Linked DNA regions of Macaca fascicularis. The protein of the gene in region 2 interacts with the protein of the main gene of each other region in a pairwise test. Links are inferred from orthologs where the notes say so. Each region holds a gene or a part of one and is shown on either strand. Other genes may lie near its edges.

What was found.
Region 1: the proteins of RNF125 (region 2) and UBE2L3 interact in a two-hybrid assay, tested with the Homo sapiens proteins (2 studies listed by BioGRID and IntAct). The link is inferred for Macaca fascicularis from reciprocal best matches to the Homo sapiens genes RNF125 and UBE2L3.
Region 3: the proteins of RNF125 (region 2) and UBE2K interact in a two-hybrid assay, tested with the Homo sapiens proteins (2 studies listed by BioGRID and IntAct). The link is inferred for Macaca fascicularis from reciprocal best matches to the Homo sapiens genes RNF125 and UBE2K.

The regions. Positions count from the first base shown.
Region 1 is NC_088384.1:31,556,409-31,566,252, reverse strand, and holds the start of UBE2L3 (ubiquitin-conjugating enzyme E2 L3), read left to right. Parts: upstream 1-3,867; 5' UTR 3,868-3,893; coding exon 3,894-3,920; exon of another isoform or gene 3,921-4,446; intron 4,447-9,844. UniProt on the Homo sapiens protein: Ubiquitin-conjugating enzyme E2 that specifically acts with HECT-type and RBR family E3 ubiquitin-protein ligases.
Region 2 is NC_088392.1:57,848,239-57,858,120, forward strand, and holds the start of RNF125 (E3 ubiquitin-protein ligase RNF125), read right to left. Parts: upstream 6,723-9,882; 5' UTR 6,684-6,722; coding exon 6,520-6,683; intron 1-6,519. UniProt on the Homo sapiens protein: E3 ubiquitin-protein ligase that mediates ubiquitination and subsequent proteasomal degradation of target proteins, such as RIGI, MAVS/IPS1, IFIH1/MDA5, JAK1 and p53/TP53.
Region 3 is NC_088379.1:38,997,312-39,007,299, forward strand, and holds the start of UBE2K (ubiquitin-conjugating enzyme E2 K), read left to right. Parts: upstream 1-3,312; 5' UTR 3,313-3,327; coding exon 3,328-3,401; intron 3,402-9,988. UniProt on the Homo sapiens protein: Accepts ubiquitin from the E1 complex and catalyzes its covalent attachment to other proteins. In vitro, in the presence or in the absence of BRCA1-BARD1 E3 ubiquitin-protein ligase complex, catalyzes the synthesis of 'Lys-48'-linked polyubiquitin chains.

The DNA.
Region 1 (9,844 bases), on a different chromosome or scaffold from region 2:
GATGTGGCACAGCACTGATTGTGGGAAGCAAGGGATGTGGGAGATGAGGCTTCAGGTTGTCAGAGGGAGGTTGAGGCAGAGCCTCACCTGCATACTCTAGACAGGGTCCAACTCCTGATACCCAGCTTCCTAGCCCAGTGACGGGCCACTTCTCTCAGGGCCACAGTTTTCTCTCCTATCAAATAGAACATCTCAGCACTGCTCTGTGGTGCCAGTGAAGGGTATAAGTGTCCGGTGCCCAGCTGGCCATTTCCTGCCCCAGCAGAGGCATTTGCTTTTCCTTGTCCTCTTGCCTACTGGGAATTCCTTCCATCCCCGGTTCCTCCACCAGCTTCTGTGAGGCCCCTCCTATGAGCCCCCACACCTCACTAAACCCTCAACACCCTCTGGTGTTTTCCTTGGTGCCTCCTCAGGATGCTGCGAGCTCCTTGGGGGCAGGTGGTGCCTGTGTATCTCTCTTTTTTTTTTTGAGACGGAGTCTCGCTCTGTCGCCCAGGCTGGAGTGCAGTGGCACAATCTCAGCTCATTGCAAGCTCTGCCTCCCGGGTTAATGCCATTCTCCTGCCTCAGCCTCGGGAGTAGCTGGTACTATAGAGGCCCGTCACCGCGTCCGGCTTTTTTATTTTTTTGTATTTTTAGTAGAGACGGGTTTTATTGTGGTCTCAATCTCCTGACCTTGTGATCCACCCGCCTAGGCCTCCCAAAGTGCTGAGATTACAGGTGTGAGCCACCACGCACGGTCCTGAGTATCTCTTTTTCTGGACCTGGGCCCAAGGCCTAATAGATGAGTGCCCAGGACTCCATGCTGACTGGAGGAAGGAACAGCATGTGGTCAATGTGAGCAGAAGGGCCGGTAGTCCAGGAGGAAAAAGCAGTCACTTCTTTTTAAAAAAATTTATTACTTTTTTTTTTTATTTTGAGATGGAGTCTCACTCTGTCAGCCAGGCTGAAGTGCAATGGCATGATCTTGGTTCACTGCAACCTCCACCTCCTGGGTTTGAGCGATTCTCCCACCTCAGCCTCCCAAGTAGCTGGGACTATAGGTGCGTGCCACCACACCCGGCTAATTTTTGTATTTTTAGTAGAGACAGGGTTTCACTATGTTGGCCAGGCTGGTCTTGAACTCCTGACCTTGTGATCTGCCTGCCTTGGCTTCCCAAAGTGCTGAGATTACAGGCATGAGCCACTGCGCCTGGCCTATTTATTTTTGTAGATATGGTGGTCTTGCTCTGTTGCCCAGGCCAGTCTCGAATTCCTGGCCTCAAGTAATCCTCCCGCCTCAGCCTCCTAAATTGCTGGGATTATAGGTGTGAGACTGTGCCCAGCCAAAAGAGTCCACTTCTTTTTTTCTTTTCTTTTCTTTCTTTCTTATTTATTTATTTATTTATTTATTTTTTTGAGACATGGTCTTACTCTTTCACTCAGGCTTGAGTGCAGTGGCACAATCATGGCCCACTGCGGCGTCAATGGCGTCAATCTCACAGGCTCAAGTGATCCTCTCACCCCAGCCTCCCAAATAGCTAGAATTACTTGGCCATCACACCTGGCTAATTTTTTTCATTTTTATTTTTTGTAGAGCTGGGGTCTCCCTGTGTTGCCCAGGCTGGTCTCAAACTCTTGGGCTCAAGCAATCCTCCTGCCCTGGCCTTCCCAAGTGCTAGGGTTACAGGCATGAGTCACCATGAGGTTACTTCTGATGGGAGGCTTGGGGAGATGGCACAGAAAGGATAGGTGTGTATGAACAGGGTTTGGCTGAGTGGAGGGGATTGGGTATGACTAGAAGTCACGCCTACTAGAGGGAGGAATGAAGGTTTTAGAACGAGAGAGGGGCCCCAAAGGCCAGGCCGCCCTTCCACTGGGACTGGGTACATTTCCTGAGTGCTTGTTTAGCAAAAGCACTTTGCAGCTCAGCGGCTTGGCTCCCCACTTGCAAAGTGCAAGAGAGTCATCTTGCAGGCAGCGGTGAGGATGTAAGAAGATGCCATGGTAAAGGCTAGTCCTTGACATTGAGCCTCTGATGATCCCACTCTCTATTCTCAGCTTAGCACATCGGGTCAAAGGTATGAATTGTGCTTCCTCATCTGGCTTGGAATTTCTCAGAGTAAGGGTCCCTTTCCTCTGTAATTCTCCACAGAGGAAAGCAGTTCTCAATAAAGCTATGTTTTTCCTTTGTCCTGGGCTCAGTAAGGGCAGGCCCGGTGCTCACAGTAGACCCCAGAGTCAGTCCCAGGCTTCCAAGTCCACCATGACCCTAGGGAGCTGATGGGGTCCCTCATACATACGCTGAATGTGTATTGAACTTCCAGTGTACTGGCCTTGGGGGAGGTAAAAGGCAGGCAGAATGGCTGCTCACATGAGGCTTGTCATCTAGTTTCTCCCTCCTTTCCTGTGTCAAGCCTGGGGTCCCAAGATGAGTGTGAGGCCAGCCTTATTCCAGGATATATTATTTCCAGTTCCCTTTCCTTCTCTCCTTTCAGGGGAAACCCACTGTTCTTTTTTTTTTTTTTTTTTTTTTTGAGACGGAGTCTCGCTGTGTCTCCCAGGCTGGAGTGCAGTGGCGTGATCTCGGCTCACTGCAAGCTCCGCCTCCCGGGTTCATGCCATTCTCCCGCCTCAGCCTCCCGAGTAGCTGAGACTACAGGCACCCGCCACCACGCCCGGCTAGTTTTTTGTATTTTTAGTAGAGACGGGGTTTCACCGTGTTAGCCAGGATAGTCTCGATCTCCTGACCTCGTGATCCACCCGCCTCGGCCTCCCAAAGTGCTGGGATTACAGGCTTGAGCCACCGCGCCCGGCCGAAACCCACTGTTCTTAGAAATGGAGAAAAATGTCCAAGCCCAGTGACTCACACCTATAATCCCAGCACTTTGGGAGGCCAAGGTGGGTGGATTGCTTGAGGTCAGCAGTTTGAGACCAGCCTGGCCAAAAATGCTAAAACCCTGTCTCTACCGAAAATACAAAAATTAGCTGGGCATGGTGGCAGGTGCCTGTAATCTATGCTACTCAAGAGGCTGAGGCAGGAGAATCACTTGAACCTGGGATTCAGAGGTTGCAGTGAGCTGAGATCATGCCATTGCACTCCACTCTGGGTGACAGAGTGAAACTGTGTCTCAAAAAAAAAAAAAAAAAAAAAAAAAAGAGAACTCCTTAAGAAGGTCTGAGTATATTCTGAAGCTATGTTCTTCTCTCTTCTTTGCTCCCTGAGGTCCAAACCAGTGTCACCTCTTTGCCTGAACGATTGCAACAGGTTTCCAAGTGGCCCCTGCTCCCCTTCTTATCCTCTTACCCACCTCCATTCCCCATTCCAATCAGAGTACTTTTTTTTTTTTTTTTTAAGACGGAATCTCTGTCGCCCAGGCTGGAGTGCAGTGGCGTGGTCTCGGCTCACTGCAACCTCTGCCTCCCAGGTTCAAGCAATTCTCCTGCCTCAGCCTCCTGAGTAGCTGAGATTACAGACGCCCGCCACCACGCCCGGCTAATTTTTTGTATTTTTAGTAGAGCCACGGTTTCACCACTTTGGCCAGGCTGGTCTGGAACTGCTGACCTCGTGATCTACCCGCCTCGGTCTCCCAAAGTGCTGGGATTACAGGCGTGAGCCACCGCGCCCGGCCAACTATTTTATGCAATCAATATTTATTATTTGCCTACTACGTGCCAGGCACTGGTTGTAACTGTCATCTGATTGGACGATCCGTAAACGCTGCGGCTCAGCCTGTGCGGTTCACTTGTGTTCCTCCACGCGCCTCCGAGCACGCTGGGAAGCATACAGTAGGTGCTCTGCTCCGCTCCTGTGCCCCGCCCCGCGGCCCCTCCCCCGCTCCAGGAAGTGCGGGGGCTCCAGCCGCCCGGCCGGCCGCGATGCATTCTGGGGAAGGAGCAGCACCAAATCCAAGATGGCGGCCAGCAGGAGGCTGATGAAGGTAAAAGCCATTCTCTGGCCTCGGTCGGGCGTGGGGCGGCGTCCCAGGCTCCGGACCCCCGAGGCAGGCAGCGGCCTCTCAGGGCGCTGCCGTCTGGCCTCCTGCCCTACACGGCCTCGTCGGTTCCCTGGGCCGCGCGCAGGCTCAAGGAGCTAACGGGGCTGGCCTAGGCCGCAGCCTGGGCGGGAGCGCCAGGCCGCGCTGGGAGCCACTGTTGGCCCCTCAGCCCGGCCCGGGGCGTTCACGCCACCCTCCGCCCGGAGCGTGGCCGCGTCCCCCTGTCGCGGAGGCCGCGGTCCGACGCGAGGGCGTCGTTAATGTGAGAGCCCGGTTGGGAGGCTCCAAACTGAGCGCCTTCGGGGAAGGCCCGAGCGCCGGAGCCCCTGCCCGGAGCCCGTGCAGCGGAACCGCCCCGCCCTGGGCCTCAGCGAGCCGGGCTTGCAGCTCCGCTTGGCCCAGCCGCAGCTCGGAACTCTGGAAGGCTCGGGCTAGGAGAGCGGGGAGGAGGCCAGGCGGCCAAAGTTAGGTCAGTTTGTTGGTGGGTCGTTTGGAATTGCGCTGGGTCCTAGCAAACTGTCGCCTTGTGACTGCAGAGTCACACAGCGGGCAAGTTCCAACTCCAGGAAGGCCTGAGGTCGGCCCCCATCGCGGCGCGGTTCTCCTTCCCTCTCCTCCACTCAGTCATCTCGATCTCCCTTCCCTGATAAAGCAAAATGCCATTTTTTGGGGGGTAACGGTTGGTTTCAGTCGTTCGAATCAAAACGGGCCAAAGTTTATAATAATAACTTGGTACTTTGGATCTTGAATGCAGCAGGGTGCTTTCTTGCTACTTGGCACCTTTTAGTGAGGAACACATTAGCTAAATTGGCTTAGTTCTTTTGCCAGTGGATTTGCCAACGTCCTCCGGAGTCCCCTCCGCCAGCGTCTGTGAGTCGGCGGCTGGCTAGTGCAGCCGGCCTGCAACGGGCCGGAAATTAAAAAAAGGCCCCGGAGCCGGTTTCCTGAGGGGAGATAAAGAGCTGGGGTTCGTTCTGGGCAGAGCAGTGTTTGGTAGAACTAGACATTGAACTTGGAGCCACAGTCTCTGAGCCCTCCCTGCCTCCCTGGGAACGTTTCCTTTCTTTTGTTCCCTAAGGGCTAGAGAGGACATTAACTTTATAAAACTGGAGTGGAAGTGGGCACAAAAGAAAACTCAGAGGACTTCTGACTTCTCATCTCTTAAGCTAGTGACACCACCATTCACCAGATAAGGGGTCGGTTAATGGCTTTCTTTCCTACCCTACTCCCAGGTGCAGTCGTCCTTCAACCCTTGTGGATTTAAATTTAGAAAGTTTTCTGGAGTGCAGGCCGGGCGCGGTGGCTCACGCCTGTAATCCCAGCACTCTGGGAGGCCGAGGCGGGCGGATCACTTGAGGTCAGGAGTTCAAGACCAGCCCGGCCAACATGGTGAACTCCTGTCTCTACTAAAAATATAAAAATTAGCTGGGCGTGGTCGCATTCGCCTGTAATCTCAGCTACCCGGGAGGCTGAAGTGGGAGAATCGTTTGAACCTGGCAGGTGGAGGTTGCAGTGAGCCAAGTTTGCGCCACTGCACTCCAGCCAGGGCGACAGAGTGAGACTCCATCTCAAAAACAAACAAAAAAAAAGATTTCTGAAGTGCATGACTTGCTTTCTAATGTTACTGAAATTACTCTGAATCTGTATCCTCATCTCTTGGGTGCCCTCCGGAGTGCTCTCCTCCCCAGACTACCCCTCACGGACACCAGAGTTCTTTTAAGGCAGATAACTCAATTCTTTTCACTCCTGTTAAAAATGTCTATGGTCTTATTGTCCTCAGCAGTTAATCCTAACCTCTTACTTGGCATGCAAGACCTTTCTGAGACTGACGGAAAGCAATCAGTTGAGCCTCACCTCCTGCCCTTTGGTTTCCCACCATTCTTGCACCTAATCGCAGTAGCTACTATTTTTCCAGCTTTTACTTCGTGCTTTATATGCATGATCATGTTTAATCCTTCCTGTGAAGTAGACATTGTGATTTCCATTTTGTCGATGAGAAAAGATTATTTGGCTTGCCCTGGGTTACCTAGCTAGGGAGAGTGAGCTGTGATCGAACTGGGTTCTTTCTCCAAAGCAAAGTCTCCTGCTCTTACTTGCCCTCTGGTGTCTCTTTGCACGTGTCGTTTGCTCTGCCCCAAAAAAGTTGCCTTCTCCTCACTTCTGCCTTCCAGAGAAGTCCCAGGTTCAACTCCAATGCCAACTGCTCTGTGAGCCCCTGCTTCACATCCCCCTTCAGAATGAGTTGTTTCCTCCTCTGTGTGACCACAGCACTTTATGTTTCTCTTTGAGCACTTGTCACAATCTCTTTGTGTTACAGACTTGTCTTTCCTGTACTGGGTTCTGAGATCCCGAAGGGCAGGGATCTTGACCTAATTCATCCTGGAAGCCCCCTAGCCTATCCCAGTTGACCCAGTTTGGAATCCCCAGGCTCTCAGGGGTCTAAGAGGGGACTTATTACGGGTTTAAAATTATTACTCTGTTTCTAAAAAAATAGACCTTGGAAAAGAATTTGTAACATTAACTGAGTATTTATTAAATATTAGGTTATTTACATAAGTTATCTTTTCAACACTCCAAGTTAGTGTATTGTCGTTTTTATGTTTTTACAAATGAGGACATTGTGAGGTTAACTAGGTTAAGGGAGTTACCTAAGGTAGAATCGTAGAATGTGGTGGGGAGGGAGAAGACACTGACTCTTCCTGTCTTTAGGACCCAAATTCCATGCCTCTTGTCAGGCTGTCTTTCTTACTCAAAGGCTGCATGGAGCGGTGTGTTGTTTCTTAAGTTGAGGATGGAAAGGCTTTCAGTTCACTAGGGGAACGCCAGTTATGTAATGCTGATCATTGGCTGTGAGAGTCAATGTTTAAGACTGGGTAGTTGTTTTTTTTTTTTTTTAAAGAAGAAAAATTATTGATACAAGTTCATCAACAGTCTTTTCAGTACATGGGGTGGAAATAAAGTGATTTTCGTTGGTGAAAAATTGGGACTTAGTGCATAGAACAGTGCCTTAGGCATAGCAATCTAGCAAATGTTGAATGATCAAATTAATTACATCTTTTTTTTTTTTTTTGAGACGGGGTCTCGCTCAGTAGCCCAGGCTGGAGTGCAGTGGCCAGATCTCAGCTCACTGCAAGCTCCGCCTCCCGGGTTCACGCCATTCTCTGGCCTCAGCCTCCCGAGGAGCTGGGACTACAGGCGCCTGCCACCTCGCCCAGCTAGTTTTTTGTATTTCTTAGTAGAGACGGGGTTTCACCGTGTTAGACAGGATGGTCTCGATCTCCTGACCTCGTGATCCACCCGTCTCGGCCTCCCGAAGTGCTGGGATTATAGGCTTGAGCCACCGCGCCCGGCCAAATTAATTATATCTTAAAGAACTTTAGATTTCTGTTAAAAATGTTTTCTAGGACATTCCACAGCAAAGATTTCTTTGTAACAATGGACTGCAGATAGTGTAAAACACATTATTAAAAGTAGAGTGATTTGCATATACTACACTGAGAAGTTATCTTAGGCAAAGTGAGTATGATAAAGTCTTTTATTTCAAAAGCATTTGCCAAGAGGATTAACCTCTTTTAGAACCCTTTTTAGGAATTATAGTGTTAATAAAACATTAAGTACATTTTAATTTGCAAGCAGCTAATTTAGCATTGTTGGCCACAACCAGATTGTAACCATTGCTTCAATCAGGATGGGGAAATTGCTACAAAAGCCAAAAGTGAAACCTTTATGTGTGGCTTAGGCAACTGATTGGCATCTGATCATTTCTTTGCAGCTTCACACTGCACACACTTCCCCCAAGGGCCCATTGAGTAGCTTCCCAGAAGGGCTTTTCTCAGAAGGGAAATCTGTGGATTTAGAGGGGTGTGTGTGTAACATCTTATTACTTATCATGATGTAACTGTTGAGTTAAGGAGTTTCGCTCTTGTTACCCAGGCTGGAGTGCAATGGCATGATCTCTGTGCACTACAACCTCTGCCTCTCAGGTTCAAGTGATTCTCCTGCCTCAGCCTCCCAAGTAGCTGGGACTATAGGTGTGCACCACCATTCCCTGCTAATTTTGTATTAGAGAGGGGGTTTCACCATGTTGGCCAGACTGGTCTTGAACTCCTAACCTCAGGTGATCTGCCTGCCAAGGCCTCCCGAAGTGCTGGGATTATAGGTGTGAGCCACTGTGCCCGGCCTAATGCTATTTAAAAATGTTCACTCAGAACTTCATATTGTTATTCTTTCTCTCAGTCCATAGTCATAGTAGGAGGAGCCTATAAAAGTTCATTCCTTGGGTTTCGTTGTATTAAGCAGTGAGGTAGTTTGCTTTTGAGTATAGGTTTAGATTCTGAGGTTGGGTAATTAAGAAGATAGAGCAATGAGTGTGTCTAGTAGTTGTGTCACATGTGTCAGGAGTTGAGGGGAGTTTTATATGTGATGTTATGCCAGTGTAAATGTCCTGAATCCACTGAGGCTTTGTGAATTGAGAAAAACGTTGCATCTTTTAGTCTAAATTCATGCATTCCAGTAAGTTGGGACTGTTTCAGCCTCCCTTAATGATATTCTTTGTAAATGTTTGGGACAGGTGATGGGAAGGAGTATACTCAATTATTGCAACATTTGGGGCCTTTTAAGGTATTTACTAGAAAACTCTGAGACAGGCCAGGCGCGGTGGCTCACGACTGTAATCCCAGCACTTTGGGAGGCCCAGGCGGGCGGATCGTGAGGTCAGGCGTTCCAGACCAGCCTGGCCAACATAGTGAAACCCCGTCTCTACTAAAAATACAAAAAATTAGCTGGGCGTGGTGGCGGGTGGCTGTAATCCCAGCTACTGTGGAGGCTGAGGCAGGAGAATTGCTTGAACCCAGGAGGTGGAAGTTGCAGTGAGCCAAGATTGTGCCATTGCACTCCAGTGCGAGACTCTGTCTCAAAAAGAAAAAAACAAAAAACAAAACAAAAAAACACCCTGAGACAAAAACTCTTGTCTCAGGGTACTGGGGCCTTTTCTGATCCTGTTAAAACTCTAAATTAGGAGACTGTTGCTTTAAAATTTTATTATAAGAGAACACTTGAAAGTATTCTCATTTTATTGGAACATTTATTACGTTTAAGATATTTCTATATTCTTTGCTACAGCAGTAAATGTGAGAGCCCCACTTCTTTGCAGCTTCACACTGCACACACTTCACACTGCACACACTTCACACTGCACACACTGTGCCCATTAGAGAGCCACGGAGACGTTCCTCCTGAGTCCGGACTCCAGCCACTTCCAGAGTTTTCCTGGGAACGGCGCATAGATCTGTAGGCATCTTAAGTCTTAGCTCCTCCTGTGACTCTCTCCCTCTGGCCCCATGTGTCTCCTCCTGTCCCACCTTACTTAGTTAATAAGGAAAAAACGCCAGCTGACCCCTTCTACGCTCTTCCTCCCTTGTCTGGTCACCTGGCAGATTCTGCTGAACTATGCCTTCAGTCTCTGTTCTCTGCCTGTCTTCTCTCCATCCCCACTCCTACTCCCACTGCCACTGCCTCAGTTCAGGCCATCCCTGTTTATGGTAGACACCTGCATCGAGTTCCTTAATGGTTCGTCTGAACTCCTTACTGGTCAGCACACCCTCTGTCCCACACTATTCCTAACCAGCAGTGCATCAGAGTAGTGTGTGGTGTGTTGTGCAGTAGAATACACATGACCAGGCCCCGCTGACAGAGATTGGAGCAGAATTTAGTAGGGTGAGGATGAGGCTGGGACTCTGGATTACAAGTGCACATTCCTTGTTCCTTCAAGGTCTTGTCTTACCAGTCTTGTCTCTCCCCACTTACCCGTTGAGTCCCCTAAACACAGCATGCTTTGCACACTCTGGATCTCGTGATTGGCATCCCTG
Region 2 (9,882 bases):
TCCTTCCCCTTCTGCCCCTCCTCCTTTTTGCCATTTTTGATACCACATGAAGAGGCCTAGAGGGGACCTCTATCAACTGTGAGACTCCTTGAGGAACGCACACACATGCATACACAAACACAAAAGCCACCAGTCGCCCCTCTTTAGGGGTTCCCTGTCTTCTTCTTCTTCTTCTTTTTTCTTTTTTTTTTTAGACAGAATTTCACTTTTGTCACCCAGGCTGGAGTGCAATGGCGTGATCTCAGCTATTGCAACCTCCGTCTCCTGGGTTCAAGTGATTCTCCTGCCTCAGCCTCCCGAGTTGCTGGGATTACAGGTGCCCGCCACACCCCTGGCTAATTTTTTTGTATTTTTAGTAGAGATGGGGTTTCGTCATGTTGGGCAGGCTGGTCTCGAACTCCTGACCTGAGGTGATCCACCTGCCTCAGCCTTCCAAAGTGCTGGGATTACAGGCATGAGCCACCGCGCCTGGCCGTTAAGGGTCCTCTCTCACTGAGCCACAGAAGCCATGGGCAGGGTCCATCCTCTCATGTCTAAAGTTCTGCTCTCATGAATTAAACATCCTAATCTCTTTGGCTTTTGGATACTGGGGTGTGCGTGTGATATATGTTGTGTCTACATGTATATATATGTTTACACGTGTGTTTGTACAGTCTGTGTGATACCAAACTGACTTCTAAATAAATGAGTACTCACAAATTAACTATCCCAAATGTTTTTCAAAGTTCATATGACTTTAGTAATCTTTGGTAAATCAAGCTAGGATTTTTGTTTGTTTGTTTTTGTTTTTTGAGAACGACTCTCACTCTGTCACCCAGGCTGGAGTGCAGTGGTGCGATCTCAGCTCACCGCAACCTCTGCCTCCTAGGTTCAAGCGATTCTTCCACCTCAGCCTCCACGTGCACCACCATGCCTGGCTAATTTTTTTAGTATTTTCAGGAGGGACAAGGTTTCGCCATGTTGACTAGGCTGTTTTCCAACTCCTGGGCTCAAGTGATCCGCCTGCCTCGGCCTCCCAAAGTGTTGGGATTATAGGTGTGAGCCACTGTGCCCAGCAATAAAACTAGTTTTAAATTGTTGGTTGGCTGGTGTGGTGGCTCATGCCTATAATCCCAGCAGTTTGGGAGTGCTCATGCCTGTAATCCCAGCTCTTTGCGAGGCTAAGGCAGTAGGATCACTTGAGCCTAGGAATTCAAGACTGGCCTGGGCAACATAGGGAGACCCTGTCTCTATAAAAAAATAAAATTTTAGCAGGGTGTGGTGGGGCATGCTTGTCGTTCCAGCTACTAAGGAGGTTGAGGTATGAGGATTGCTTGAGCCCAGGAATTTGAAGTTGCAGTCGGCTATGATCACATCACTGAGTAGTTTATTCTTAGATCATGTCTCTAAAAACAAACAAAATTACTGGAAATAAAAGAAACAATTCTTCAGGCAGAATATACAAAAAAAGCAAGATTATGTTTTTGGAGAGAAAGGTTATAAGAATGGCATGAGGCCGGGTGTGGTGGTACACGCCTGTAATCCCAGCAACTCGGGAGGCTGAGGCAGGAGAATCGCTTGAACGCAGTAGGCGGAAGTTGCAATTAGCCAAGGTCATGCCACTGCACTCCAGCCTAGGTGACACAGTGAGACTCCGTCTTAAAAAAAAAAAAAAAAAGCCGGGCGCGGTGGCTCAAGCCTGTAATCCCAGCACTTTGGGAGGCTGAGACGGGCGGATCACAAGGTCAGGAGATCGAGACCATCCTGGCTAACACGGTGAAACCCCGTCTCTACTAAAAAATACAAAAAACTAGCCGGGTGAGGTGGCGGGCGCCTGTGGTCCCAGCTACTCCGGAGGCTGAGGCAGGAGAATGGCCTAAACCCGGGAGGCGGAGCTTGCAGTGAGCTGAGATCCGGCCACTGCACTCCAGCCTGGGCGACAGAGCCAGACTCAGTCTCAAAAAAAAAAAAAAAAAAAAAGAATGGCATGGTGTGACTTTTTTGTTAATGGAAAATTAATTTTGTCCAGAAGTTATTTAAAGATTGTTTCAAATTGAAAGAATAAAAAAAGATATAGATAAAACTAAATGAATACAGAAAGTTGGAAATAGAAGAAAAATTCTAAGAGGTTATAAAAGATATGTAAATCTTACCTTGTGTGGTCAAAGCTGACTGAAATTAGATGGACTTGTTTATTAGGCTTTATTTAAATTAGCTTTATTATTGATATATTGATTCAAAAGTAAAATACGGTTTTCTCTTGAACAAGACTTTTGTGTATTAGAGATGGGGTCTCGCTATGTTGCCCAGGCTGGTCACAAACTGCTGGTCTCAAGTCATCCTCCTGCATCGGTCTTCCAAACTTCTGGGATTACAGGCATGAGCCACTGCACCCGGGCAAGTATACTTTTGTGAGCAAAATAATTTACCTTTTTCTCTTTGGATTGACAAACTGTTTTTTGCGTATTCTTATTTCATGGCAATATAGTTACATGCATAAGTTCAGTAACAATCTGAACAGGACATAATTGGAGACAGTGGTTATTTTCCCAAGGCTTTAACTGGAATGTCATACTTAGATACATGATCAAACTGCTTTGAGGGACTGAGATTGACATTAAAACACCAATAGACTTACAAAAAGATTGGCCTGGTACCCTGTGTATATAGTTCCCTTACAAAATTCCTGACCTTGCGGTATGTAAAGAATTGTCACTTTCTTGGCTGGGTGCAGTGGCTCACTCCTGTAATTCCAGCACTTTGGGAGGCCGAGGCAGGCAAATCACCTGAGCTCAGGGGTTCAAGACCAGCCTGGGCAAAATGGCGAAACCCTGCCCCTACAAAAAACACAAAAACTAGCTGGGCATGGTGGTGCGTGTCTTTAATCCCAGTTACTAGAGTGGCTGAGGCAGGAGAGTCACTTGAACCCGGGAGGCGGAGGTTGCAGTGAGCTGAGATCACGTCACTGCCCTCCAGCCTAGGCAATAGAGTGAGACTCCATCTCAAAATAAATAAATAAGTAAAAAATAGCCAGGCATGGTGGCAGGCACTTGTAGTCCCAGCTACGCGAGAGGCTGAGGCAGGAGGATTGCTGAGCCCAGGAGGTAGAGGCTGCAGTGAGCCATGATTGCACCACTACACTGTGACCTAGGTGACAGAGTGAGATCCCACCTCTAAAAATAAAGTAAAAAATAATAAAAGGAAATAAAGGAAATGTTAAAATGGGGGACTCAAGGAAACTGAAAGTATTTCACCCCAAAATGTACTTCTTTGATATATTCCCGCATACAGGAATAACCCTAAAAAGCTGCCTTTTGTGGCGGAGACTTGTATCTGTAGAGAAAATCTACACTGGTGAAATAAACAACCAGGCTTTCTTGGAGCCACCCCCTTATCCGTACCTAGGAAATTATTAACTGAAGGTCTGACACCTAGGAAGGTCTGACAGAGCAACTTAACACAGGCTCATGCCTATTCTTTCTAGGAGCTGCTATCTATGAAGTTTCATCTGCATAACTAGACCATCTTTGCCCCAGTCTCTTCTTTCTGTTGCCCTCCCATAACCATGTTCCAAGCCCCTATTCTGGTGTAACCTCAAGATGGTATAAAAGCATCAAGCATCTGGCCCTTTCAGTTTTCATAGTTTGATGACTCCCGTGCCCATATGCACATTAATACATTTGTAGGCCTTTCCTCCCCTGTTAATCTATTAGCAGTTTGTTTCATAGACTCAAGTGATCAAACCTTTAGGGGAAAAAAATCAAATTCAAATTTCCCTACAGTGGTCACACAGCTTGCTAGTGGCAGAGGGGAATTTCAAATCCAGCTTTCTATAAGGGCCAGTTACTACTGCATCACAATACAACTTATAAAGTGCTCTGTACATATTCAGTCAAGGTACTGCTGTTACTATTAAACTTGTTTGACTTGAAAATCAGCATAAACCACCTAGTTCAATATGTCTGAAACTGTAGCTTCAATATGGGATAATAAAATACAGAAGGTTCATTTGCATTTATTCATTTTCCAACTTAATTTCAATGGAAAAGAGTAATTCATTTAGAATGTACAAATGGCATTAACAACGCTCATAATCTCTACAGCAGAAAAGACTCTGGTTAACATTTATAAAGTGGAAGGGGCCCAAGTAAGTTTGCCAAAAGGAGGAATATGGAAATTCTGCCCACAGCTAGAACAATGGACATAGATTTGTCAAAACAAAGAACAGTAAAGAGAGGAAAGGCAATTTGTTCAGCCCTTGTAATGCTATTTTATGGTTATTTTTCCAGTTGCTAGTTTCCTATTCACTTTAACAAAGAAAAAGATTAAACAAAAAATTGAACATTTTGCAAACTTACATTATCCTTTAGTAGAAGGAAAAATATTGTAAATGGTAAGTTATACTATTCAAAGTCCAAAACAGGAAAACAATCTCCAGTCAGATAATTGAATTAGCAGCAAAGCGGTCTATTCCAAAAAGAATCTTCAAAATGCCCACTGTTTATGTTTTGCACAACTTCAAAGTTTTAAGGCTAATAATGATTCAATTTCAATGGAGGTATCTTTAGGCTGTTATTGCCCTAAAATAATCAATATATTTTATGACTCACACAGCCCATCTTGGCTTCCAGATTGGCCTGTGGATATTACGTTAATGAGCTACATCTGGACAGCTGAGCAACATTAGTAATCAGAAAGGAGGGTAAATTTAAGCCTCGAGTTTTAAGAACAAAGCTGAAACAACAGGCCTCGAAAATACAGCTACGAAATAATGCCCAAAGCACTCTTTATTTATACATTGTGCAGGCTGCACACTTTTTTCCCTGGCTCACAGGTTGGGCAGTGGTGAAAACTGCTTTTCAGATACAAGGCTATAGGTATTAAGGATCACCTAAGGATTCCAGGTGTGAGCCACCATGCCCGGCCTCAAAACTTCTGAATGCAAGTGCACAACATGTTTTTAAGGACTACCTAAATCCTTTCAAAAGTGATCCTCAGAAGCAATAATGCTATTTCTTTCTTCCTGCTAAGCCAAATGCATTTCTTTCTTCCTGCTAAGCCAAATACAAGTACATGCCACTGTGGTATCACACAGGGCTTCATCATACTATAGTCACCCTTCAAAGGACATTAAGTAGGCTTCCGCTTCTGATCCGTGCAGACACACACACACACACACATCCACGAACAAAATTCAAACCAAAGAGAGAAGGCTGGGTGCAGTGTCTCACACCTTTAATCCCAACACTTTGGGAGGCCGAGGTGGGTGGATCAATTGAGGTCAGGAGTTCAAGACCAGCCTGGCCAACATGGTGAAACCCCATCTCTACTCAAAATTCAAAAACTAGTAGGGTGTGGTCGTGGGCGCCTGTAATCCCAGCAACTCGGGAGGCTGAGGCAGGAGGATCACTTGAGGCGGGGAGACAGAGGTTGCAGTGGGTGGAGGTTGCAGTAAGCCGAGATCCTGCCACCGCCACCGCACTCCAGCCTGGGCGACAGAGTCAGACTATCTCTCTCTCTCTCTCTCTCTCTCATACACACACACACACACACACACACACACACAAAGTAAACAGCACGAATTCACAGATCCAACTTCACCAGTTACTCAAGCACACATTAAGCATGTGCCAATTTTATATAGGAACTTTGTTTTTAAACTCTTCTTAGAAACGACCACGGCTTTGCACCAACTGTGAGTTTTAGCTAAGTACTATGCCGTTTTGAGAAAGTTATTTTACTCTGTAATTTCTGCCGGTTTGGAGAGACGGCGTGTAAAGCAGGTAGTCTGTCACCTCCTGTCACGTTGTGGCTGGGTTTTGGAGGAGTACATTCAGGGGCTTGCGGCTAACGTCCAAGCCCCACCCTAGCAGGTTGTTAAACTCTAACGACTTGTGGAAAGTCACTCGGAAGCTCCAGTTTGACTTGCTCTTTGAGGGGATGGGTGTCTGTGTTGGGAAAGGGTAGCAGGGGTGGGGGTGGAAAAAACACTTTGCACAGATCCTTGTTTGCTTAAGACGAGCCTCTGTGGGCATTCTGGGAACACGTGCACAGCTCCAGCAAAACAAAACGGACCCGAGTTTCTGGGGCAGAGGGAAGCGCAGCCTGTTCCACCGTGTTCAGCGGGGTACCTGCGCTTTGAGGGAGCCCCTGCCTTGCAGTTGGAGCTCGTTTCTTTTTCGTGCCCGGGCGAGCGCTCGTTCTCCAGCCAAGAGCACCCTCCCCTGTTGGCGAGCCCTGGCTCTGGGCGGGACCCGTGCCTGGATCCCCTTCTCTGGAGCTCCGCACCTGGACTTCGGGAGGAGGCAGCGCAAGGGGGCTGCAGGGCCCGATTGTTTCTTTTTTCTCCTCCCGAAATCCTGTGTCACCTTCCGACCGGCGTTTTCCCCGTGGCCCCGCACCCGACGGGTCCAGGTTTCTCTCTGCAGCAGTTTCCTAAGGCGCTGTCTTCCGTCCCCCTCCTTCCCCACACCATGCCCTCAGCTTCCCGACATCGCCCTCCTTAGGGGTGGGCCCAAACCGAGCTCCCCTGGCACTTACACGTGGCCACAGCGGGTCCGGACAGGCTGGTGTAACACCTCAAGGCACACGGCGCAATCGAAGGACGTGACGGGCAACTCCGGGTCCCCCCTGCGCTCCAGGGCCCGCGGGGTGGCAGAGGGGGGAGCCGATTTGCCGCTGTCGCTGCTCAGCACGGAGCCCATCGCTGTGCCTCTCGCCCAGACAGCTGCCAAGCACTCAGTGCCTGCTGCAGGGTTGTTTTGTTGTCGTGCGGTGGAGGAAGGAAGTCCCGGCCCAGCTGCGATCGCCGCCTCCCAGCGCGCGCAGCTCGCGCAGCCAAGAAGCAACCTCCGCCGATGCGCCCAACCCTGGTCTAGGGCAGGGCGAGTGCGCGGCCGCGGGGCTGAAATCTTCGGCAAACCGCCTAGGTTAAGGCGCGGAGGCGGAGGCGGCAGCCGCCAGGTGCTTTGTCTTGTGGTATTGGGAGGATTGAAACCTGAAACCTCAACTGCAGAGAAGAGGACTTGAGGCAGTAGTAAACCTTCCAAGCTGTCACACACAGCCTCTTTCCCCACTGTCAGAAGTTAAGTGCGGGCGTGGCCATGCTTAATGGTAATCAGAGAACAGCCGCTTGTAAGGACCATCCTCCACTGTTGTAATCACAATAAGCTGCATTGAACTATGACCTATGATTGGACGTCTCCTAAGACGGTGCTATCATTACTCTGTCGTCCAATCAATAGTCCATTAATGGAGAGAGAGCCTGGGTAGTGGAAAGAGTTCTGGAGATTCAGATTCCAATCCTACCTCTCTTACAGATATTCTAGTGCTAAACCCTGCCGTCTCCAGTTTCCTCTGCGGCTCAGGATTTCCTCTGTTGTTTGTACTCTCCCCATCCCGCCCTTTAAATGTGATCAGCCGGGCGCGGTGGCTCACGCCTGTAATTCCAACACTTTGGGTAGGCCGAGGCAGGTGGATCGCTTGAGGTCAGGAGTTCGAGACCAGCCTGGCCAACATGATGAAACCCCGTCTCTGCTAACAATGCAAAAATTAGCCGGGCGTTAATTCACACTTTTTTCGAAGACTTATTTCGTGCCCACTGCACGCCAGACTCAGTTCTGGTGATGGAGACACAACTGTCAACAAGCAAACAAAATCCCAGTTCTCACAGAACTTACTTTAAAAAACAAAAACAAGGCTGGGCGCGGTGGCTCACGCCTGTAATCCCAGCACTTTGGGAGGCCGAGGCGGGCGGATCACAAGGTCAGGAGATCGAGACCACGGTGAAACCCCGTCTCTACTAAAAATACAAAAAATTAGCCGGGCGCGGTTGTGGGCGCCTGTAGTCCCAGCTCCTCGGGAGGCTGAGGCAGGAGAATGGCGTGAACCCGGGAGGCGGAGCTTGCAGTGAGCCGAGATCGCGCCACTGCACTCCAGCCTGGGCGACAGAGCGAGACTCCGTCTCAAAAAAAAACAAAAAACAAAAAACAAAACAAAACAAAAAAACAAAAAAACAAAAACAAAACTTTACTTTGAGGTAATTATAGATTTGCATACAGTTGTAAGAATAGTACATAGTATATAATACACATATACAATAATATATAATGTAACACATGGGATATAATAACGCATATAATACATGTATGTATTTAACAGGCCGTAAACTTCATCCAGTTTACCCCAGGCTTTACTTTTAATTAGGAGATATAGGCCGGGTACCGTGGCTCACGCCTGTAATTTCAGCACTTTGGGAGGCTGAGGTGGGAGGATCACTTGAGCACAGGAGCCAAGATCACGCTACTGCACTCCATCCTGTGCGACGGAGCGAGACCCTGTCTCAAAAAACAAACCAAGCCGGGGCAGTGGCTCACGCCTGTAATCCCAGCACTTTGGGAGGCCAAGGAGGACAGATCACCTGAGGTCAGGAGTTCGAGACCAGCCTGGCCAACATGGTGAAACCCTGTCTCTACTAAAAATACAAAGCTGGGTGTGAGCTACTTGGAAGGCTGAGGCACAAGAATTGCTTGAACCCGAAAGGTGGAGGCTGCAGTGAGCCGAGATCATGCCACTGTACTCCAGCCTGGGCAACAGACGGAGACCCTGTCTCAAAAAACCAAAAGAGGCTGGGCGCAGTGGCTCACGCCAAAGTGCTGTAATCCCAGCACTTTGGGAGGCGGAGGCAGGTGGATCACGAAGTCAGGAGTTCAAGACCAGCCTGGCTAACATAGTGAAACCCCGTCTCTACTAAAAATACAACATTTCTTTAGTAAAAATTTTTGTACTAAAAATACAAAAATTGGCCAGGTGTGGTGGCACATGCCTGTAGTCCCAGCTATTCGGGAGGCTGAGGCAGGAGAACCGCCTGAACCCAGGAGGTGGAGGTTGCAGTGAGCCGAGACCACGCCACTACACTCCAGCCTGGGTGACAGAGGGAGACTCTGTCTCAAAAACAAACAAACAACAAACAAACAAAAGGAAGATATGTATAATCAATCAATAAACAAATAAAATCATTTCAGATAATCAGAGCCATGAAGAAGATAAGACAGTAACTGACAATGAGGAGAAGAAGAAACTCAGAATAATTTTTGGATGAAGTGACATTTGAGCAGAGCCATGAATAATGAAAAGAAGTGAGCCGTTCAGAGATTTAGGAAAAAGTGTGGTAAGCGCTGGGAACAGTGAATGAGACAGGACCAAAGAAAGGAAAGACCTATGGAGCTGGAGCATTGGGTGGTGGGGGGCAGGCAGTGGGGGGAAATAAGATGAAAAGATAGTTATTCCTATCTTCAAAAGGAAAACAAAAACCTCCCTTTCATCCCACTTATGCCTCAACTCCTGCCCCATATCCCCTTCAAGGCCAAATCTCTTGATCTGATCCTCTACATTATGTCATCATTTCTTATTTATTCACTTCTTATTCAGTCCATTCTGAGTTCTGAGCCAACCTCTGCACCTCCATCTGTCCAAAAACTGCTTTATTATCAGTGTCACTGGTGACGTTCATGTAACTCATTCCAATAGATTCTTTTCAACTATTTTTGTGCTTGACCCCTCGACTATTTTTGTCAGTGCTGACCATCCCCTCCTGGAAGCACTCTGACTTTCCTTCTTTCTTTCTGGCTGTTGTTTCTCTCCTTTGCCAGAGTCTCCTCCACTGGCTCTGGGCTAGAGATCCTAGGATTCTGTCTTAGCACCTTTTCCCTTCTCCTCTCTGTCTCCCTCTCTCTTTCTCTCTCTCTCAAAAATCACACAGGTTCTGTCACTATTTTGGTTCCAAAGACTTTCACATCTTTATCTCCACCCCAGGCCATTCAAATGCCCAATAGCCCAATAGCTTACATGACTGACCATTTGACATAGACACCCTCAGCCCAATGTCTCCAATAATGAACTCAT
Region 3 (9,988 bases), on a different chromosome or scaffold from region 2:
TTAAAAAATCAGCCAGGCCTGGTGGTATGTGCCCATAGTGGCAGCTACTTGGGAGGCTGAGGCTGGAGGATGCTTGAGCCCATGAGGTCAAAGCTGCAGTGAATTGTGATCATGTGACCGCACTCTAGCCTGGGCAGCAGCGAGACTCTGTCTCAAAAATGAAAAAAGAAAATAATTCCTGGCTATTTGTTAATTATATAAGAACAACACAGCCAGGCGCAGTGGCTCACGCCTATAATCCCAGCACTTTGGGAGGCCGAGGCAGGTGGATCACGAGGTCAGGAGAGCGAGACCATCCTGGCCGACATGATGAAACCCCGTCTCTACTGAAAATACAAAAATTAGCTGGGCATGGTGGCATGGGCCTGTAGTCCCAGCTACTCAGGAGGCTGAGGAAGGAGAATTGCTTGAACCGGGGAGGTGGAGGTTGCAGTGAGCTGAGATGGCACCACTGCACTCCAACCTCGCAACAGAGCAAGGCTCTGTCTCCAAAAAAAAGAGAATACTTTGAGACTTAACTAACTGTATCAGATGTGTAAGATAATTTATCTAAAGAATAAATGGACCCGGACAGTAAAGACACAAAAAATATATACTGGCTTTGAATGTTTTATTTTTAAAACTTTTAAGTTTGTTCCCCCTTTTTGATGTTTTTCTGTTAAAATTTCTCCCTTTTGATTTTAATAAAAAGATAAAATTCTCTACCAAAAATAAATGTAACGAGAATTTGAACAGTTGTTTAAAACTAGAGGCAGGCTTGGTGGCTCACATCTGTAATGGCAGCACTTTGGGAGACTGAGGCAGGAGAATCGTTTGAGTCTGGGAGGTCAAGGCTGCAGTGAGCGGTGATTGTGCCACTGTACTCCAGCCTGGGTGACGGAGCAACACACTGTCTCCAAATAAAGAGTAGAAAAGTGGTTTTTAAAGTTTTTATTTTCATTTTATTTTTCAAAAGTGTTTTTGAAAGTTACGCAAGTTACAGTTTTATGTAATATTTAAATAGTATTTTTTATGGGTTCTGAAATGGGTTGAGCAGGGAAAGTCTATAGATTGGATTTTTAAAAAAATCAAAGTCTGTGCAGGTAATATGTTTGGGGTGAATTCCTTGTTTACACTGTTACAAAGACTTTGAGCTCTGTCCATTGGGCGTAGGTTTAGACACATCTGGGCTCCCCTAGCTTCTTCCCTTTTTATTTGTGTGTTTTGTTTGTTTGTTTGTTTATTTGTTTTGAGACAGAGTCTCACTGTCACCAAAGCTAGAATGCAGTGGCGTGATCACAGCTCACTGCAGCCTCTAACTCCCCAGGCTTAGGTGATCCTCCTACCTCAGCCTTCCAAGTAGCAGGGACTAAAGGCATCTGCCACCATGCCCAGCTAATTTTTGTAATTTTTTGTGGAGTCAAGGTTTCACCATGTTGCCCAGGCCGGTCTCGAACTCCTGGGCTCAAGTGATCCTCCCGCCTTGGCCACCTAAAATGCCGGAATTGCAGACGTGAGCCACTATGCTTGGCCTGTCATCCCTTCTTAAAAACTATACACTTTTTTTTTTTTTTTTTTGAGACAGAGTCTCGCTCTGTCGCCCAGGCTGGAGTGCAGTGGCCGGATCTCAGCCCACTGCAAGCTCCGCCTCCCGGGTTTACGCCATTCTCCTGCCTCAGCCTCCCAAGTAGCTGGGACTACAGGCGCCCGCCCCCTCGCCCGGCTAGTTTTTTGTATTTTTAGTAGAGACGGGGTTTCACCATGTTAGCCAGGATGGTCTCGATCTCCTGACCTTGTGATCCGCCCGTCTCGGCCTCCCGAAGTGCTGGGATTACAGGCTTGAGCCACCGCGCCCGGCCCACTTTTTTTTTTTTTTTTGAGACGGAGTCTCCGTCTGTCGCCCATGCTGGAGTACAATGGCGCAATCTTGGCTCGCTGCAACCTCTGCCTCCCGGGTTCAAGCAGTTCTCCTGTCTCAGCCTCCTGAGTAGCTGGGATTACAGGCATGTGCCACCATGCCTGAGGGTTTTTTGTTTTTTTTTTTTGGTATTTTTTGTATTTTTAGTAGAGACGGGTTTCACTATATTAGCCAGGCTGGTCTCGAACTCCTGACCTTGTGATTTTGCCGCCTTGGCCTCCCAAAGTGTTGGGATTACAGGCGTGAGCCACTGCACCTGGGCTTTTTTTTTTTTTTTTTTTTTTTTTTTTTTTTGAGACAGAGTCTCGCTCTGTCGTCCAGGCTGGAGTATGGTGGCACAATCTCAGCTCACCATGGTCTCTGCCTCCCGGGTTCAAGTGACCCTCGTGCCTCAGCCTCCTGAGTAGCTGGTATTACAGGTGCACCCTACCACGCCCAGTTAATGTTTTGTATTGTTAGTAGAGACAGGGTTTTACCATGTTGGCCAGGCTGGTCTTGAACCCCTGACCTCAAGTGATCCAACTGCCTCGGCCTCCCAAAGTGCTGGGATTACAGGCATGAGCCACCACTGCCCAGCCAAGACTATATACTCTTATTTCCCAGTGAATACATTATTGACAGTTTTTGAAAATACTGACTGTAGCCCCAAAAAGCTTAACTGGTTGGAGATACAGGGCAGACAAAGGATAGATAAAAATGGTAGGGGCAAAGAGTAAATGCTATGGGATTCTAAGGGTATCTGTATGAGTGAGATTCCTTTTTGTTGTTGTTTTGTTTTTGAGAAGGAGTCTCGGCTCTGTCACCCAGCCTGGAGTGCAGTGGCTTGATCTTGCTCACTGCAACCTTCGCCTCCCAGGTTCAACCAATGCCTCAGCCTCCGGAATGGCTGGAATCCCGGGATTACAGGCATGCGCCACCCTGCCCAGCTAATTTTTTTTTTTTTTTTTTTTTTTTTTTTGAGACAGAGTCTCGCTCTGTTGCTCAGGCTGGAGTGCAGTGGTGCGCAATCTCAGCTCACTGCAGGCTCCGCCTTCCGGGTTCACGCCATTCTCCTGCCTCAGCCTCCCGAGTAGCTGGGACTACAGGCACCCGCCACCAGGCCCGGCTAATTTGTTGTATTTTTTTAGTAGAGATGGGGTTTCACCATGTTGGCCAGGATGGTCTCGGTCTCCTGACCTCGTGATCAGCCTGCTTTGGCCTCCCAAAGTGCTGAGATTACAGGTGTGAGCCACCGCGCCCGGGCACTACACCCTGCTAATTTTTGTAGTTTTAATAGAGGCAGGGTTTCACTATATTGGCCAGGCTGGTCTCAAACTCCTGACCTCAGATGATCTGCCTGCCTCGGCCTCCCAAAGTGCTGGGCTTACATGGTGAGCCACCATGCCTGGCATGCCTGGACTTTTTTTTTTTTTTTTTTTTTTTTTTTTCAGATGGAATCTCGCTCTGTCACCCTGGCTGGAGTCCAGTTGCATGATCCAAGCTCTCTGCAGCCTCCGCCTCCCAGGTTAAGTGGTTCTCCTGCCTCAGCCTCCCAAGTAGCTGGGACTACAGGCGCACCCCACCATGCCCAACTAATTTTTTATATTGTTAGTAGAGACAGGGTTTTATGATGTCGGCCAGGCTGGTCTCAAACTCCTGACCTCAAGTGATCCACCTGCCTCGCTCTTCCAAAGTGATGAGATTACAAGTGTGAGCCACCATGCCCAGCCAAGACTATGTACTCTTATTTCCCAGTGAATACATTATTGATAGTTACTGAACATGTTGACCACAGCCCCAAAAGGCTTACTGGTTGGAGATACAGGACAGACAAAGGATAGATAAAAATGGGAGGGGCAAAGAGTAAATGCTATGGGATTCTGAGGGTATTTGAATGAGGGAGGTTCTTTTTTGTTTTTGTTTTGTTTTGAGTCAGAGTCTCTGTCGCCCAGCCTGGAGTACAGTGGCTTGATCTTGGCTCACTGCAACCTCCACCTCCTGGCTTCAAGTGATTCTCAGGCCTCAGCCTCCGGAATGGCTGGAATCACAGGCATGCGCCACCACACCTGGCTAATTTTTTGTATTTTTAGTAGAGACTGGATTTCACCATGTGGCCAGGCTGGTCTCACACTCCTGACCTCAAGTGATCTGGCTGTCTTGGCCTCCCAAAGTGCTGGGCTTACACGCATGAGCCACCCGACCTGGAGTTTTTTTGTTTTGTTTTGTTTGAGATGGAAACTCACTCTCACCCAGGCTGGAGTGCGGTGGCGTGATTTTGGCTCACTGCAGCTTCTGCTTCCCAGGTCAGGTAGTTCTACTGCTTGACCCAGTAGCTGGGATTATAGGCACGTGCCACCACACCCAGCTAATTTTCCTATTTTTAGTAGAGATGGGGTTTCTAGCCAGGCTGGTCTCGAACTCCTGACCTCAGGTGATCCGCCTGCCTTGGCTTCTGAAAGTGCTGGGATTACAGGCGTGAGCCATCGTGCCCGGGCTGTATGACTGTATGAGGGGGGTTCTTGAGCTAGGTGCTTTTTGTTGTTGTTGTTGTTGTTGAGACGGGGTCTCCCTCATTCGCCCAGGAGCACAGTCATAGCTCACTGCAGCCTTGACCTCCTGGGTTCTAGCAAGCCTTCCACCTCAGCCTCCCAAGTAGCTGGGTCTACAGGTACGTGCTGCCACACCCAGCTAGTTTTTACTTTTTGTAGAGATGGGGTCTCACTATGTTGCCCAGGCTGGTCTTGAACTCCTGGCTTCACACAGTCCTTCTGCCTCAGCTTCCCAACGTTCTGGGATTATAGGCATGAGCCACCTCACCCAGCCTTCTTGAGCTGAGGAAAGTTAAGACTGACCTCAAATTTCAGGAGACAGTCCCAAAGGAATTGTGGTAATATTGCGATTCTTTTTTTTTTCCCCCCCGAGACAGAGTTTTGCTCTTGTTGCCCAGGCTGGAGTGCAATGGCGCAATCTCGGCTCATTGCAACCTCTGTCTCCTGGGTTCAAGCGATTCTCCTGCCTCAGCCTCCTGAGTAGCTGGGATTACAGGCATGCACCACCAAGCTCAGCTAATTTTGTATTTTTAGTAGAGACCGAGTTTCTCCATGGTGGTCGATCAGGCTGTTCTTGAACTCCCGAACTCAGATGATCTGCCAGCGTTGGCCTCCCAAAGTGTTGGGATTGCAGGTGTGAGCCACCACGCCTGGCTGAAATTCTTAAGTAAATAAACTTTTCTCTAGGCACATGAATTGGAACTATGGAACAAAGAGATTATTGATGCACTTATTCAAGAAACACATTTACATATGTAGAACAGAAAGGTTGCACAGCTCTTATATACTCAAACATAGTTGTAGAGTTAGATCATGTTCTTAACTTTCTTCATAGTTACCTTTTGGGGAGGAAAACCACCCTTTTTCATATTAAAGTAAAACGTGTACATAATAAAGTGTGACTGGCATCCAAATCAAGAAACAGACCCTTCCCAGTACCATAGGAATCCTCCTTCCTTTCTAGTTACTTTCCTGACTTCTAATAACAGATTAGTTTTGAGTATGTTTGAGTAAAAGAACAGATGTGAGTATATGTTACGTATTTTAAGTTGGAAAGTTTTCAAAAGATGCTGTTCAAAATCTGTTAAGAAAAATATAGTGTCTTAGAAAATGTACTAAAATGTATTGAATTTCAGTGCTGAAATAGATCTAGGCCAAACTCCTCATCTATAAAATCAGGAAACTGAGGCCCAAGGAGGTTGATTGTTCCTCAGAGAAACAGCTGGTTAATGGTTGAACCCAGGCTTTTTGCATACCAGTTTAGTCATAATAAGTAGTTGGTTTGTGGGAATATCCTTTTCATAAACGATAGTGTAAAAGCTGACTGCTAATACAACTTTACAGAAGGAGATAACAATGCAGTATTATTTAAATGTGTCTTTTCTTTTCCCCCTCTTAGTATGAGAACTTAAACTTGCCAAGGAGGTAGAGATTTTTAACTCCTGAAGCATAATTTAGTGAAGTTAGCTTAGTAATTAAGAGCATGGGCTTTATAATTAGATTTGCTTTGAGTCCTGGCTTTTCTTCTTAAAACCTGAAGTACTGGCTCTGTATCTCGATTATCTTTATCTGTAAAAACTGTGGGAAGATTAAGAGTGTCTTTACAGTGCTTAGAATAACCTTGGGACATAATTAAACAGATAGCTGTTAGATGTCAGAAGTAGCTATGTTTTCATATTCTGTTGTGCTTATTGTTCTTGAATTATAAAGGTATTGTTCAATGGTTTAGTGATTACTGGATGTAAATATGCCTCAAGAAAAGCTCAATATGAGGGCTATGGTACTTCTAATAGTGTTTCTTTGTCACCTGTGTGCAAATAATCCATGGGGCTGGTAGCCAAGTAGTCCACCCTTATCTGCAGTTTCATTCTCTGCAGTTTCAGTTACCCACTGTCAACCATCGTCCAAAAATAAGTGAGTATAGTACAATAAGGTATTTGAGAGAGCACATTCACATAATTTTTATTACAGTATATTGTTATAATTACTCTATTCTATTATTGTTAATCTCTTACTGTGTTTAATTTATAAATTAAACCTTATCATAGGTATGTACATATAGGAAAAAACGTATAGGGTCAGTACTATCCGTGGTTTCAAGCATCCAATAGGGATCTTGGAGTGTGTCCCCTGTGGATAAGAGGGGATATATTAATACAGAGGAATATATGTGGGCTCTGTTCTCCAGATGTGATTTATTTAATCTTTCTTTAGGAGACAGTTATAAATTGGAGAAAAGTTTGTGTTAAAATGTTACCTTCCTGAATGAAAAAGTTTATTTGGGAAACTCTCAAATGATATAGAGATAATGGGATTATTTTGGATTTCTTGACATGGCTCTGGTTTCCTGAAACTAGAGCAAAGAATCTAGATTCTAATCCTATGGTATATAATCTTGGATCCCTTTGCAAATCTCTTCTTCAGTGGGCTTTGGGAACCAGAAAATAAGTGGTCTCATTCATCTGACATCCATGTTATTCTCTTATGTAAATCTGAAAAGGTGGGAGAACTTTATTTCACTGAAAATGCTTTTTAAAAAATTTTTTATTTTTTTAAGGCTAGTCCAACGAAGCAGTGGAAATGGAAAAGGAAAAAAGTCTGTAACTGGTTATGATCAATTAATTGTTAACACCACTGAAAAACCCTTTTTTCCTTTCTCTTCCCTTTAGTTCTTTGCTTTTACTCCAAATTTAGAATAACTGCCTACAGTTGAATGCCTACTGTCTGATTGATTGATTGATTTTAAGACACAAGGTCTTGCTCTGTTGCCCAAGTTGGAGTGCAGTGGCAGCAAAGCAAGACCTTACAGCTCGCTGTAACCTTGAACTCCTAGACTCAAGTGATCCTCCTGCCTCAGCCTTCCTAGTAGCCACCACACTTGGCTAAATTTTCTTTTTTTAAATATTTTGTGGAGTTGAGGGTCTCACTATATTGCCCAAGCCAGTGTCAGACTCCTGGACTCAAGCAGTCCTCCTGCCTCAGCCTCCCAAAGTCCTGGGATTACAGGCATGAGCTACTGCACCCTGCCTGTCTCACATTTTTTATATATGGCAGCTGTATGAGATTGATAGTATTCTTGTTTCACAGATCCAACAGTTGCAGCTGGGAAGAAATTAAGTAGCTTCCTCAGTATCAATGACTTGCTGGTGGGACAGAGGTTTGAAACCAGGTGTCTGCCTCCAAAATATTGGTGGTTTTGGTGGAAAGAGTTACACTCATATCTGCTGCTTGCTCCCTACATTTTTGAAGATTTTTTTGAAACTATGAAATACTTTATATTTAGAAGTTTTAAAAGTAATACATGAACATCTTTATATCTGTGGTCCATATTTAACAGATTGTAATCTTCTCATACTGTGGGCTAAATTGCCTCTACCCAAATACAGTAAAATATAGAGGTAGAGCTCATTGGATAACTTTTTTCTTATTCCATTTTTTCTTTCTAGGAGTATCTGCTATGTGAAGCTAGTGTATATTCTCCCCCTTCATATTTTGTTTTTACTGTTAAAGATAGTATCTCCTGAATTTAAAAATGAAATACTTTTTGCTTTTTTTAGAAGTTTTTTTTAAAAAAAGTTTTTATAGATGATTGTAATGTGCATCTCTTGGAAACTTTTTCTCTTAGCATTATTTTTTAAAGATCTGTGATAGTGCATGTTGTGCTAGTTCTTTATATTGTATTCCATGTCAGTTTTTAAAGTTAATTTTTCTATTGATGGCATTTAATTCCAACTTTTAGATAAAAGGATGTACTGTACATTTTTACAGTTTTTGGGGGGACATATAAGAGTTTTTCTTGGAAGTAGAATTGCAAGATCTGAGCATATTTTCAGCTTCTGCGTGACTGGATTTTGCTTCATTGTTCTCCAGATGATTGAATCAATTTACATTCCCACTAAAAGAGTTCTGGCCGGGTGCGGTGGCTTACTCCTGTAATCCCAGCACTTTGGGAGGCAGAAGCGGGCGGATCACCTGAGGTCAGGAGTTCCAGACCAGCCTGACCACCACGGAGAAACCCGGTCTCTACTAAAAATACAAAAAATTGCCGGGCGCGGTGGCTCAAGCCTGTAATCCCAGCACTTTGGGAGGCCGAGACGGGCGGATCACAAGGTCAGGAGATCGAGACCATCCTGGCTAACATGGTGAAACCCCGTCTCTACTAAAAATACAAAAAAACTAGCCGGGCGAGGTGGCGAGCGCCTGTAGTCCCAGCTACTCGGGAGGCTGAGGCAGGAGAATGGCGTAAACCCGGGAGGCGGAGCTTGCAGTGAGCTGAGATCCGGCCACTGCACTCCAGCCTGGGCGACAGAGCGAGACTCCGTCTCAAAAAAAAAAAAAAAAACAAAAAATTAGCCAGGCGTGGTGGTGCATGCCCATCCTGGGCAACAGAGGGAGACTCTGTCTCAAAAAAAAAAAAAAAGTCACTATTTTTTGTAAGACTATCTCCGGAAAAAAGGGGGGAAAAAAGTAGTTACTAGAACCCCCCTGTTTTTTTGGAGATGGAGTCTCACTCTTGCCCAGGCTGGAGTGCAATAGTGCTGACTACATTTTTTTTTTTATACTGAGTCTGGCTCCATCGCCCAGGCTCGAGTGCAGTGTTGCGATCTCAGCTCACTGCAAGCTCCGCCTCCCGGGTTCACGCCATTCTCCTGCCTCAGCCTACCAAGTAGCTGGGACCACAGGCACCCGTCACCACGCCCGGCCAATTTTGTGTGTGTGTGTGTGTTTTTTTTTTTTTTTTGAGACGGAGTCTCGCTCTGTCACCCAGGCTGGAGTGCAGTGGCCGGATCTCAGCTCACTGCGAGCTCCGCCTCCCGGGTTCACGTCATTCTCCAGCCTCAGCCTCCCGAGTAACTGGGACTACAGGCGCCCGCCACCTCGCCCGGCTGGTTTTTTGTGTTTTTTAGTAGAGATGGGGTTTCACCGTGTTAGCCAGGATGGTCTCGATCTCCTGACCTCGTGATCCGCCCGTCTCGGCCTCCCAAAGTGCTGGGATTACAGGCTTGAGCCACCGCGCCCGGCCTTGTGTTTGTTTTTTAAAGACGGGGTTTCTCCGTGTTAGCCAGGATGGTCTCACTTTCCTGACTTTGAGATCTGCCTGCCTCGGCCTCCCCAAAGTGCTGGGATTACAGGCGTGAGCCACTGCGCCCGGCCTACATTTTTAAGACTTAGGTTTTTGTCACTATGATGAATGTGAAATAGTGGTTTATTCTAATTTTTACTTCCCTAGTCAGTAGAGATATTAAGCATATTTTGTGTTTATTGGCCATTAGACTTTTGTAAATTTAGGTTTAGTTTTTTTTTTTTGTTTTTTTTTTTAAGATGAGACGGAGCCTCGCTCTGTCGCCCAGACTGGAGTGCAGTGGCGTGCAGTCTTGGCTCACTGCAACCTCTGCCTCCTGGGTTCAAGCAATTGCCCTGCCTCAGCCTGCCAAGTAGCTGGAATTACAGGCATGCCCCACAAAGCCTGGGTAATTTTGTCTTTTTAGTAGAGATGGGTTTTGCCATACTGGTCACACTGGTCTCAAACTCCTGACCTCAGGTGATCCGCCTGCCTCAGCTT